Linked DNA regions of Nothobranchius furzeri. The protein of the gene in region 1 purifies or fractionates together with the protein of each later gene. This does not show direct contact. Links are inferred from orthologs where the notes say so. Each region holds a gene or a part of one and is shown in the gene's direction. Other genes may lie near its edges. The genes, in order: atr, claspin and topbp1.

Evidence for each region.
Region 2: the proteins of atr (region 1) and claspin purify together in Homo sapiens (affinity purification with western blotting; 3 studies listed by BioGRID). This does not show direct contact. The link is inferred for Nothobranchius furzeri from reciprocal best matches to the Homo sapiens genes ATR and CLSPN.
Region 3: the proteins of atr (region 1) and topbp1 purify together in Homo sapiens (affinity purification with western blotting; 8 studies listed by BioGRID). This does not show direct contact. The link is inferred for Nothobranchius furzeri from reciprocal best matches to the Homo sapiens genes ATR and TOPBP1.

What each region holds. Positions count from the first base shown.
Region 1 is NC_091758.1:22,170,158-22,172,934, forward strand, and holds the end of atr (serine/threonine-protein kinase ATR), read left to right. Parts: intron 1-435; coding exon 436-586; intron 587-671; coding exon 672-828; intron 829-957; coding exon 958-1,111; intron 1,112-1,277; coding exon 1,278-1,429; intron 1,430-1,557; coding exon 1,558-1,663; intron 1,664-1,776; coding exon 1,777-1,950; 3' UTR 1,951-2,136; downstream 2,137-2,777. UniProt on the Homo sapiens protein: Serine/threonine protein kinase which activates checkpoint signaling upon genotoxic stresses such as ionizing radiation (IR), ultraviolet light (UV), or DNA replication stalling, thereby acting as a DNA damage sensor.
Region 2 is NC_091759.1:26,753,863-26,757,997, forward strand, and holds the start of claspin, read left to right. Parts: upstream 1-1,255; 5' UTR 1,256-1,390; coding exon 1,391-1,417; intron 1,418-2,013; coding exon 2,014-2,122; intron 2,123-2,198; coding exon 2,199-2,521; intron 2,522-2,602; coding exon 2,603-2,749; intron 2,750-2,865; coding exon 2,866-2,925; intron 2,926-3,005; coding exon 3,006-3,078; intron 3,079-3,157; coding exon 3,158-3,260; intron 3,261-4,135.
Region 3 is NC_091747.1:45,076,912-45,081,159, forward strand, and holds the start of topbp1 (DNA topoisomerase 2-binding protein 1), read left to right. Parts: upstream 1-1,361; 5' UTR 1,362-1,555; intron 1,556-1,729; 5' UTR 1,730-1,735; coding exon 1,736-1,822; intron 1,823-1,899; coding exon 1,900-2,034; intron 2,035-2,132; coding exon 2,133-2,276; intron 2,277-2,362; coding exon 2,363-2,544; intron 2,545-2,633; coding exon 2,634-2,827; intron 2,828-2,903; coding exon 2,904-3,080; intron 3,081-3,158; coding exon 3,159-3,325; intron 3,326-3,406; coding exon 3,407-3,570; intron 3,571-3,896; coding exon 3,897-4,126; intron 4,127-4,204; coding exon 4,205-4,248. UniProt on the Homo sapiens protein: Scaffold protein that acts as a key protein-protein adapter in DNA replication and DNA repair. Composed of multiple BRCT domains, which specifically recognize and bind phosphorylated proteins, bringing proteins together into functional combinations.

The sequences.
Region 1 (2,777 bases):
CCACACAGTGATAGAGGAGGTGAGGATGATGGTGACTCCATGACGGAGGTGATGGTGGGCTCCCACTTGAGGTCCTCCTGGGTGTTGGTGGTGCCCAGGAAGCGACAGGAGTCCACCATCATGATAGGAGTGTCAGACAGGGCTATGGAGGAGGGGGGCTGTGTGCTTCCACAACAACCGTCAACAACCTCCGCTGTCTTCTGTGCGTTTAGCACCAGGTTGCTGTGGGTGCACCAGGAGACCAGATGTTCGACCTCCATTCTGTAGGCAGACTCATCCAAGTCAGAGATGAGTCCGATGACAGTGGAGTCATCTGCTACATAAATACACAAATAACAGTTTTGATGCAGGACCGATGGATCATGATTGAAATAGATTGTGTCTTACAGAAAAAGCCACCTAACTGATACGTCTTTGTGATGCTTTTGTCTGCAGTGCCTCCGTAAAGATGCCGAATCGAGGCGAAGAGAATTGCATATCCGCACCTACGCTGTGATACCCCTCAACGAGGAGTGTGGCATCATTGAATGGGTCAACAACACGGCTGGGCTGCGACACATCCTCACAAAGCTGTACAAAGAGAGAGGTACTCTCATACGAGGCTGGGAAGTTCAAGAGGAGATCAGTATGAATGAAAACTTTTGACAAATTGTGTCTGTGGCTTTTTTAAGGCATCTACCTGTCGGGTAAAGAGCTGAGGAAGCTTATCCTGCCAAAGACGGCTCCTTTTGAGGAGAAACTGCGAATCCACAAGGAGGTGCTGTGCTCTCGACATCCTCCTGTCTTCTATGAGTGGTTCCTCCGTACCTTCCCTGATCCAACGTCCTGGTACTCTAGATCCTTCCAGCATATATATATAAAGGAGGATGTCATTTTAGTGTCTGACCATGTGCTGTTTGACTCACACAGTTACTGTTTTTGTCTCTGGTATGCATGCATGTGTGTGTGTGTGTACAGGTACAGCAGTCGCTCTGCATACTGCCGCTCCACTGCTGTGATGTCCATGGTGGGCTACATCCTGGGTCTGGGAGATCGCCATGGTGAAAACATCCTTTTTGACTCGTTCACTGGTGAATGTGTTCACGTTGACTTTAACTGCCTCTTCAACAAGGTTCGTCTTTGTCCCAAACTAAAATATCTATTAATAAAAAAAATTTAATATAAAAACAATAAATGAGATAATAAAGAACCAATGTTGTATTTAGTTTTAGCCACTACTTTTGCATCTTTCTCTTTTGTCTGAACATCTCTGGTGCAATTCTCGTTCTGTCCTCTAGGGGGAGACATTCGACGTGCCTGAGGTGGTGCCTTTCCGCCTGACCCAAAACATGGTTCATGCTATGGGGCCCATGGGCACCGAGGGCCTGTTTCGACAGGCCTGCGAGGTCACAATAAGACTAATGAGAGACCAGAGGGAGTCGCTCATGAGGTAAACACACAAAAAATATAATTTTATAAACTTTTACTAGTTTACTTTGTACTTTAATGTTATTACTAGTCATTGCTGCATTTTTTCTGTCACAAAATTGTTAGTTAAGTTTTTTCTCTCCATTTCAGTGTGCTTAAAACCTTCCTTCATGACCCTCTGGTTGAGTGGAGCAAACCAGCCAAAGGACTATCGAAAACTCCTGCCAGTGAGACAGGAGAGATAGTCAATGAAAAGGTGTGGTGTTTCATTTTTGTTGGGTGGGAGCAACACATCAGTAATATTTCCCTATGATACACATATATATGTTATTTAATCCTGTAATTTACTGTTGTATCCATTTCTTCCAGGCTAAAACACATGTGTGTGACATCGAGCAGCGTCTTCAGGGGGTGATCAAGAGCAGGAATAAAGTGCTTGGTCTGCCTCTGTCTATAGAGGGACACGTGCACTACTTAATCCACGAAGCCACAGATGAGAAACTGCTCTGTCAGATGTACCTGGGCTGGGGCCCGTACCTATAAGAATACCTCAGCTAATGAAGTTAGTTCTTGACCCTGCCGTTACAGCACTTTGGACTGTTGAATGAAAAACGGATGGTTCAGTATTTGTCCTGAAGTTTCTGTTGCTGTTTTGAAGTTTTCCGTTCTCTGGAAATGTTAAATTTACATATTTGTTCTTCTCTAATAAACAAAATGTCCATTTGTAAATGTGCCTTTTAAAAGCATTTTTAATCTTTTAACCCTCTGTTGAGACGCAATTAGTTCAGACTGTCAGCTGATTGTTTTTAATCCCTTGTCTTGTTGCTCTTTTCCTGTCGACATCCTGCTTCTTTCACAATGTTTAAGAAGCTAAGAGGACTCAGTGAAAGGTTGCTGTTTAAAATAGGTTATATTCAGTGTATATGTTTAAGCTAGCAGTACAGTAGTTGGAGGTTCAGACATAAAACTTTTTTTATATTGCTGCCTAATGTTTTTATTAATGCATGGGCTGCTTTTCCATGTTTTAATGCAACAAGAGCATGAAGGACTAACACTGATTGTTTCACAACCGCCATTTATTGTGTGCTTTTTTTGTTCTATTTATAATTGAAATAACATTGTGAAACGAGTGAAGTTGTGCTTATTCCCATAGATCGCCACGGTTTTATTTTGAAAATCATGAACCGGAAGTCGGAGGATTTAGGGATTTAAAAAATATATATCGTTACTTTTAACATTTTAACACATCTTTTAACGTCCATATCACGGTTTTTGCACATTTAATAGCATAAAAAAGTCAGTCCAGTGGAAATTTCTTACAGGATGTTAGGATGACATCACGATCAGGTGCGTGCTGGTGCTAACCGAGT
Region 2 (4,135 bases), on another chromosome or scaffold:
AGGGGGGAGAAGCTTCATCCTTTAGGTAGGTTTTCTTATTTGAGTTGTCACACTGAGCTCTATTTGGTGTTTTATTGGATTCAATTAAAGATCCTGAACACCCTGAAGTTAAGGAGCCTACCTTGGTCTGAGTCAGAGACTGGGATGGCATGGATTCTGGAAAAACAAGAGAATCTAAAATGCAGACAAAAACAGCATTATGACAAGACCACAAGGGCACTTAGACTGCTTACAAAGGATGATGTGGTGAGAGGCCAAGATCAAAATGCATGGAGCAGAAACGCCATTGTTCCTCAGTAAGCTGACCCAAGATCATATGAAGTAAGACCTGAAGGTCGTAAACTCAGAAGGTACCGTCATAATCTGCTGAAGAGCAAAGACGCCTTTTAGGAGGAACAATGTGGTGAGAAGGCAAGCTGTTGTGGCTCAAGCAGAGATGGTGCCTGCCATAGGAGGACATGAAAAGCAGAGGAAAGTGATGTCTCTCCAGGACCTGTGTTGAGGAGGTCAGCGTACCACCAGAAACCAGTCGGGGTTCATCTATTGTCGTATTTCTATGTTGAGCGTACTGCAGAGAGAGGGGTGAGATTCTTCTAACGCACGGTCGTGCACTCGAGCCTGCGCACGTGCCCAAGTGCACTTACAGAAGACCCGGAGACCGCAGATTCAGGCTTGTACTGTTTTGAGACAGCGACCTCTAAAGGATCAACGTGTAACTGCAACTGCAGATTCAAGCTTAACCGTTATTTATAAATAATATGTAATTGTCGGTGAAGCTTATTAAAATAGTTTATTCGTTGTTAACGCTTCAGTGAAGTAGTTCTCAGAATACAAATTTGAAAATTCCTGAGTAAATTTTAATAATAAAAGCTTTTATCATATTTATTTAATTGAAGTTGTTTGTAGAAACAAAAATAAAAAACTTTCCGATCGTACTCCATCTTGGAACGCTAGCTAACAGTGGGCGGCGCTGTCTCAAAAACAGTACAAGCCTGAATCCTGTGGGGCGCAGCAAACTTAGCCGCCCGCCTGCGCAGCGCTGGTGGATGTTTTAATTCCTCCACTAACTGTGTCGTCACACTGGGCGGATACCTCCGTCACAGATGGTCCAATAGCAGGGCGAGAAGCGCTGGACTGACAGCTCGCTGGTGAAAGACCGCGGGCCAGCTGTCACGGCGCGCGAAAGTGTAAACTTTGTGTTCGGTGAGCGGGTGAGGCGGGAGGAAGCGGAGCTGTCCGGTAAAACGCGGCCTAGCTGTTCGGTAAGGAGCTGCAGTAGAGTTCTTTTCACGGACACGTTGTTCTCGGTGTCGGTAGCGGCTGTAGCCGTTAGAGGAGCGGACGGAGCCTCGTCCCTGCCGGGAGCGGGCGGACCAACCGGAGCACAAAGATGAGCCTTGTCCTGTCTCACCTGCAGGTAAAGACGCTAGCAGGCGGCGTCAGTGGAAGGTGTACAGACAGGTACATGTGAGACAGGTGTGTGTTCAGCGTGCTGGAGGGAAACGTCACCAACAAGGTGCTAAGGTGCTGTTAGCCGCTTAGCTGCTAACACCGAGGAATCGGTTCTTCCGTTCACCTCGTTCTAATTCGGTAGAGCTCCGTTAAAAAGTCACATCAAACAGTCCGAAGGTCCGGTAGCCGTTACCGGACAGCTGGGCGTTCGGTCCGACACGGTTATCCAGCTGTGACGTTGATTCATTGTTTTACTGACCGAAGGCGCCATGAATCCGGCTAGCAGCTGGTCTGGGATCAGCTAGTCCGCCTTGACCCAGACCGTGTTTCTGATCAGGACTGGTCCCAGACCAGTGTCTCTCTGTGGCCCGGAAACCAGTCCGAACCAGGTCAAACGGCTCTGGTGTGAGAGGTGGAACAGCTACGGGTTCTAGACCCGGTTCTCACACACACACACACACACGCACACACACACACACACACACACACACACACACACACACACACACACACACACACACACACACACACACACAGGCTCTGAAGTCTGTCTCTCTTCAGACTGAGGCGTTGGCCCGAGCAGCACCACAGAGCCACTGGGACAGCGGGATGGGTCCTCCTGCAGAGGAGGAGGTCCCAGAGACGTCTGATAGAGGAGATGAGTGTCCAGGTGAGACAGACCTGCTGCAGGACGCTCGTGGACAATCAGGAGAAACCGTGGTCCCCTAAATCAGTTTTTCTCTCAGATTCAGATGATGACATCACAGTTCACAGGAAGCCTCGGCGTAACGCCATCAGAGACAGTGACAGTGAGGAAGAGGAGGCACCAAGACGCCTGGAGCTGTCTGAAGAAGCGGTACCTGCCTCTAGTGAGGACGAAGAGAGGAGGAATAAAGGAGGACAGAGGAGCAACAGAAAGGCTCGTGCATCTGATGGTAGCGATGGAGAGCACGAGGAAGAGGAGGAGAATAAAAGAGAGAAGAGTCAAAGGCATCGAAAGAAGAAAGAAAAACGCAGCAAAGTGGTGGAAAGCCTGAAAAGGAGAAGGAGGTCTGGTGGAGGAGAGGAGGTGAGTTCCGTCTGAAATTTTCATCCAAATAAATCCAGAAATCTTAAAAATAAACTGGTCACCTTTTGCTCTTTCCATCAGGACGTTCCTCTTCCTCCAGCGCTGAACGACAGCGGCTGTCCTCTGGGTGATCCAGAGCTGTTTAGCACCGGTCTGGAGGAGGAGGAGGAGGAGGAGTCTCTGGACGCCATCAGAGCTGCGGTCAGACAGAAAGTGAAGAAACACAAAGTAAGAACAAGATGTTTACGTCACTCTGACCCTAACTCCGCTCGTGTTCTGGATGAGAAGAGTCCGGACGTGTTTCAGGAGGAAGTTTTGACTAAACTTGTTAAATGTGACTGTAGGACCCCCTCCTGGAGGAAGAGGAGGAGGATGAAGAGGTCCCAGAGAAGCCCCAGCGAGCGGTAGGATACAGCACCACGTTAGACCAGGTAGACGACTCGGACTGAAGGTAGAATAAACTGATTGTCTCTGGGGGCTCCAGGAACGGAAAGCAGCTCGAGCCAGCAAGGAGGCGATGAAGCAGCTTCACAGTGAGAGCCAGAGGCTGGTCCGAGGTCAGTTCCCCTGGCTCTGCTCTGCTTTAGCTGCAGGGGTTTGATCTGCAACACGCTAAACGTTTCTCTGCGTCTGTAGAGTCGACGCTTGGGTTGCCATACCACATCCCTGAACCCAAAACCATCGAGCAGTTCTTCAAGAGGAGGACCCGGCCGGAGGGATCGGCCATGGCGCTGCTGAAGTAAACAGTAACAACTAGTAGCCCTGCGTTGGCGCGGCCCTGGGTTGGGTCGACGCGGCCCTGGGTTGGGTTGGGTCGACTCGGCCCTGGGTTGGGTTGGGTTGACGCGGCCCTGGGTTGGGTTGGGTTGACGCGGCCCTGGGTTGGGTTGGGTCGACGCGGCCCTGGGTTGGGTTGGGTCGACGCGGCCCTGGGTTGGGTCGACGCGGCCCTGGGTTGGGTTGGGTCGACGCGGCCCTGGGTTGGGTCGACGCGGCCCTGGGTTGGGTTGGGTCGACGCGGCCCTGGGTTGGGTTGGGTCGACGCGGCCCTGGGTTGGGTCGACGCGGCCCTGGGTTGGGTCGACGCGGCCCTGGGTTGGGTTGGGTCGACGCGGCCCTGGGTTGGGTCGACGCGGCCCTGGGTTGGGTCGACGCGGCCCTGGGTTGGGTCGACGCGGCCCTGGGTTGGGTTGGGTCGACACGGCCCTGGGTTGAGTCGATGCGGCCCTGGGTTGGGTCGACGCGGCCCTGGGTTGGGTTGGGTCGACGCGGCCCTGGGTTGGGTTGGGTCGACGCGGCCCTGGGTTGGGTTGGGTCGACGCGGCCCTGGGTTGGGTTGACGCGGCCCTGGGTTGGGTTGACGCGGCCCTGGGTTGGGTTGGGTCGACGCGGCCCTGGGTTGGGTTGGGTCGACGCGGCCCTGGGTTGGGTTGGGTCGACGCGGCCCTGGGTTGGGTCGACGCGGCCCTGGGTTGGGTTGACGCGGCCCTGGGTTGTGTTGGGTCAACGCGGCCCTGGGTTGGGTTGGGTCGACGCGGCCCTGGGTTGGGTCGACGTGGCCCTGGGTTGGGTTGGGTCGACGCGGCCCTGGGTTGGGTCGACGCGGCCCTGGGT
Region 3 (4,248 bases), on another chromosome or scaffold:
AGAGGCGTCGACCCTTGGACAGGAGGCGTCAACCCTTGGACAGGAGGCGTCGACCGGAGCCTCTTGGATGGACTGGACCGGAGCCCCTTGGACGGGCTGGACTGGGGGCTCGTGGACGAGCTGGACTGGATGCGCAGTGTCCTACGGGACCTCCGCTGAAGCAGGATGCGATGCGTCCTCCGGGACCACCGCTGGAGCAGGATGTGATGCGTCCTTCGGGACCACCGCTGGAGCAGGATGCGATGCGTCCTTCGGGACCACCGCTGGAGCAGGATGAAGCTCAGACGCGGGTCGCAGAGCAGGGGCCTCTTGGGTAGGCCGCACAGCTCTGGCGTCTGATGGATTCATGAGTCTTGGCTTGGGCTGTAGAGCAGGGGCCTCTTGGTTCGGCGGCACAACTCTAACTTAAGATGGCTTTATGAGCTCAGGTTTGGGTTGCAGAGCAGGGGCCTCTGAGATAGGGGGCACAACTCTGGCTGTAGATGAGTTCAGGAGTTCTGGCTCGGGCTGCAGAGCAGGGGCCTCTTGGTCAGGCAGCACAGCTCTGGCTTCAGACGACTGGATGAGTTCAGATTTGGGTTGCAGAGCAGGGGCCTCTGGGTTAGGCGGCACAACTCTGGTCTCAGGAGACTGCTGGTGATGGCGATGACATCTGCGACGAGCACGGCTCCTCGGAGGTGCGGGGATAACGCCGTAAACGCCCACTGGACCTGGTGGAGGTGTGGTGGCTTGGCCCATTGGAGGTTCCGCGATGGCGCCGGTCGAAACAGACGGAAAAGAGGAGTGACAGCCCACCGGAGGTGGAGAGGTGGCGCTGTCAGGACCAGGTGAAGGTGAGGTGGCTCGGCCCATTGGAGATATTTTGTAAGATAGGACTTTTTAATGCCTCATTTACTAAAGTACTCTACTGCATTGTTATTTTTATATTGTAATCAGTGCAAAAGGTCTGTTTATTGTGTATAAATTTGTAACACGGCCATAGACATGATTAGCACACTGCTGTTTGATTTTTGCAACAAAAAAAAAAGTATTAGCAAAAAAACTCCGATATTTTTTTTTCATTTTGATTGTGTGCCACTGTAAAATTGCATGACATTTGAATAATAAGCAATTAAATATGTACAGGTTCTCTAAAGAGTCCCTTTTTTTTTACATATGCATGATCATTTTATTGTGCCAGGTGGCAGGTCCCAAATTTCTTCAGGAATGTTATAGTTATTATTATTATTAGCCACAGAGGCGATGTTCTACTCGGACAGATTAGCAAGTAGGACCGGAAGTTCCGTGAAAGGCGCGAACTGTCAACAATTAGCTTAAATTTTCGTACTATAAATTATTTGTATATTTATTTAATGTTGTGGCGATTTTATGCCGGTTTGTCCTAAAAAAACGAGTTTTACATTTTTTCTAAACATTTTCACGTTGTAACCGGCTAAGTTAGCAGCAGCCATTTAAAACTCAACATCGTTTGTTATAAAAAGTTAGTTTTTACCGAATTTAAGTAGAAACGGAAATGTCTTTATATTCACTACCAGCCGGAGTCCAACCATAGGAGGTGAGTATAGTCCATGTTTTTAGTTATTAGGCTGATATGATCAGGCTAAAAGTGAACATTAGCTAGTAACTTAAGACTTATTACAGCTGAAGCTTTAGTCTATAAATAAATTCCTGTAATTTTAGATACTGCTTCCATCAAGTGGCAACTGTAACATACTGTGTTTATTCCAAGTTCAACATGCTTAAAGGAAACAAGGAATGCCTCTTAGTGAAGTTTGTGGAAAGTGAAGGATCTCTGACAGATCATGCCACCAAAGCGTATGAGGTAAATCTCACTGCCTTGCTTAATGTTTGTTTATTTATTTGCATTTAGTGATTCTAATTCTGTCGTATTTTATTCAGGCCATTTTGGAGCTGCAGTCTGAAAAGTATTTACAAACCATTAAGGAAGAAGATGTGCTGCAGATGAAGCAGAAGGACAGGTCTCTGTTTGTGTTGAGCAGCTTCACCTCTCCAGCTTTCCTGCACTGTATGCAGGTCTGATTCCGTTTGTCACACTCTGAAATTATAAGTCCTGTTGGGATTATTGAAACTCTTTGAGGAAAACTCTTCTTTTGCCTCCGTTTGTCCTGCAGCTTGGCTGCAGAATCGTGAGTCCACTGGTGGTGCTGTACTGCTTACAGAATCAGCGCTGTGTCCCCAAAGCAGAGAAACCTGTGTATAATATGGCAATGGCTGATGTGACCATTTCCTGCACCAGCCTGGACAAAGCAACACGGGTTAGTTAGTTAGTTAGTTAGTTAGTTAGTCTTCTTAATGTAATTTGAAGACTGTTGCTTTTATTTTCTAATTTGTGTTTCTGCAGACAGAAGTGATGGATCTGGTGCAACTGATGGGTGGACGGGCCAGTCTTGATCTCAATGTGTTTGTCACGCACCTGATTGCAGGAGAGGTTGGAAGTAAAAAATACCTGGTGGCTGCCAACCTGGGTAAACCCATCCTTCTGCCCTCGTGGGTCAAAGCCTGCTGGGAGAAGACCCAGGATAGGTGTTCAGCTTGATTAAACTAAAAAATAAAAACGGCTAATTCTAAAGGTTTTGTTCTAAAACCACCTCTTTACACCATTTTGTTCCCAGTCTTTTAAGGTATACAGACTTGCCAGTGGAGGATTATCTGTGTCCCGTGTTGCTTGGCTGTACAGTTTGTGTGACGGGCCTCTCCAGCCTGGAGCGTAAGGAGGTGCAGCGGCTCTGTGAGCAGCACGGAGCTAAATACACTGGCCAGCTCAAAATGAACGACTGCACACACCTGATTGTTAGTGAACCAACTGGTAAGTCACTAACGGCTTTGGGGAACTTGTTGATTTATTACAAACCCTCTAAGAATCCGTTTTATCGGTGCTCCAGGTCAGAAGTACGAATGCGCCAAGAAGTGGAATGTTTACTGCGTGTCTGTAAACTGGCTCTTTGACAGCATAGAGAAGGGTTTCTGTCAAGATGAGAGCAGGTACGCCGTGGACCGCCGTTCATCAAAAACCTCCGCACCGCACACCTCTACTCCTACTGGCACCAGCAAGCGGCAAGGTCGGCTGCTTGCCACGCGTCTTTTAGTTATTTAAAAATTGAGCATCTTTAATAATCACATCTGCATTTTGTCTCTAGATGGTCCGTCTCTGCTGGGCTTGAGCAACATTTCTGTCAGTGCTAGCGTTGGGGTAAATGACACTGCCCTCACCAACTCCACCGTGAGTCGTGTGGAGACGTCGGACCCCGTAGATTGCCTTGATCTCACCGTTTGTCCTGTCGATGATGTTTTGGATGGCTGTAAGGTAAAAACATAAACTTTTTTATTCTCTATAGTTATTTTAGTCAATTTGAGGTGATATTATTGTTGTTCTATTGCTGCACAGCTGTATCTCTGTGGCTTTCCGGTGAAGAAGTTGGAGAAGCTGCGGCGACTTGTAAACGCTGGCGGAGGTCTGCGCTTCAACCAACCCTGTGAGGAACTGACTCATGTGGTGATGGGAGAGCTGGACCAGGAGCTCCACAAGTTTCTCTCTAAAGCCACTTATAGGTAGAAATAATAATGTCTGGCTGTGAAACAAACAGAATGAACGTGTGAATGCTGGTGGTGACAAGCCTTACAGATTTACTGTAATTTACAAATAATTCTTATTTAAACAATAAAAATGTGCTTTAAACTTTTAAAATGTCTTGTTTTGATCTTTTAAACAATCAAGGTATTAAAAAATGTATTCCTAAATAAATCAGTATGCTTTTTAGGGTTAATAAAACATTTGATCTTTTGTTTGATCTGCAAAAACCGGAACATAAAATAAACAATTCTAGAAACGTGAAACTGACCTGAAATAAACTAGGTGTGTTTTTGTGATTCTCCAGGCCTCATGTGGTAACAGTGCAGTGGCTGCTGGATAGTTTCTCTAGAGGCGCTCTGCTCCCAGAGGAAGGATACCTCCACCCTGACTGCCTTCCTCCTGCTGCAGCTGCAGCATCCGTGCCACCTCCCAGATCATCAGCCGGACCGCTTGTTCCCAGTCCAACCACTCCCAGGTTAAAGACGGCAGATGAGGATCTGCTCTCACAGTACATGGACGGCGACCCAACAGTTGGTGGGAGTGTGCTTTTGCAGGATTTATTCTGCATTAGATGTGGGGGTTTTTAAACAAAGTACATTTTTGTGTTTTAAGTTGACGTGCCACCACCAGGAGGAGAGAACAGGGAGTCCATAAGC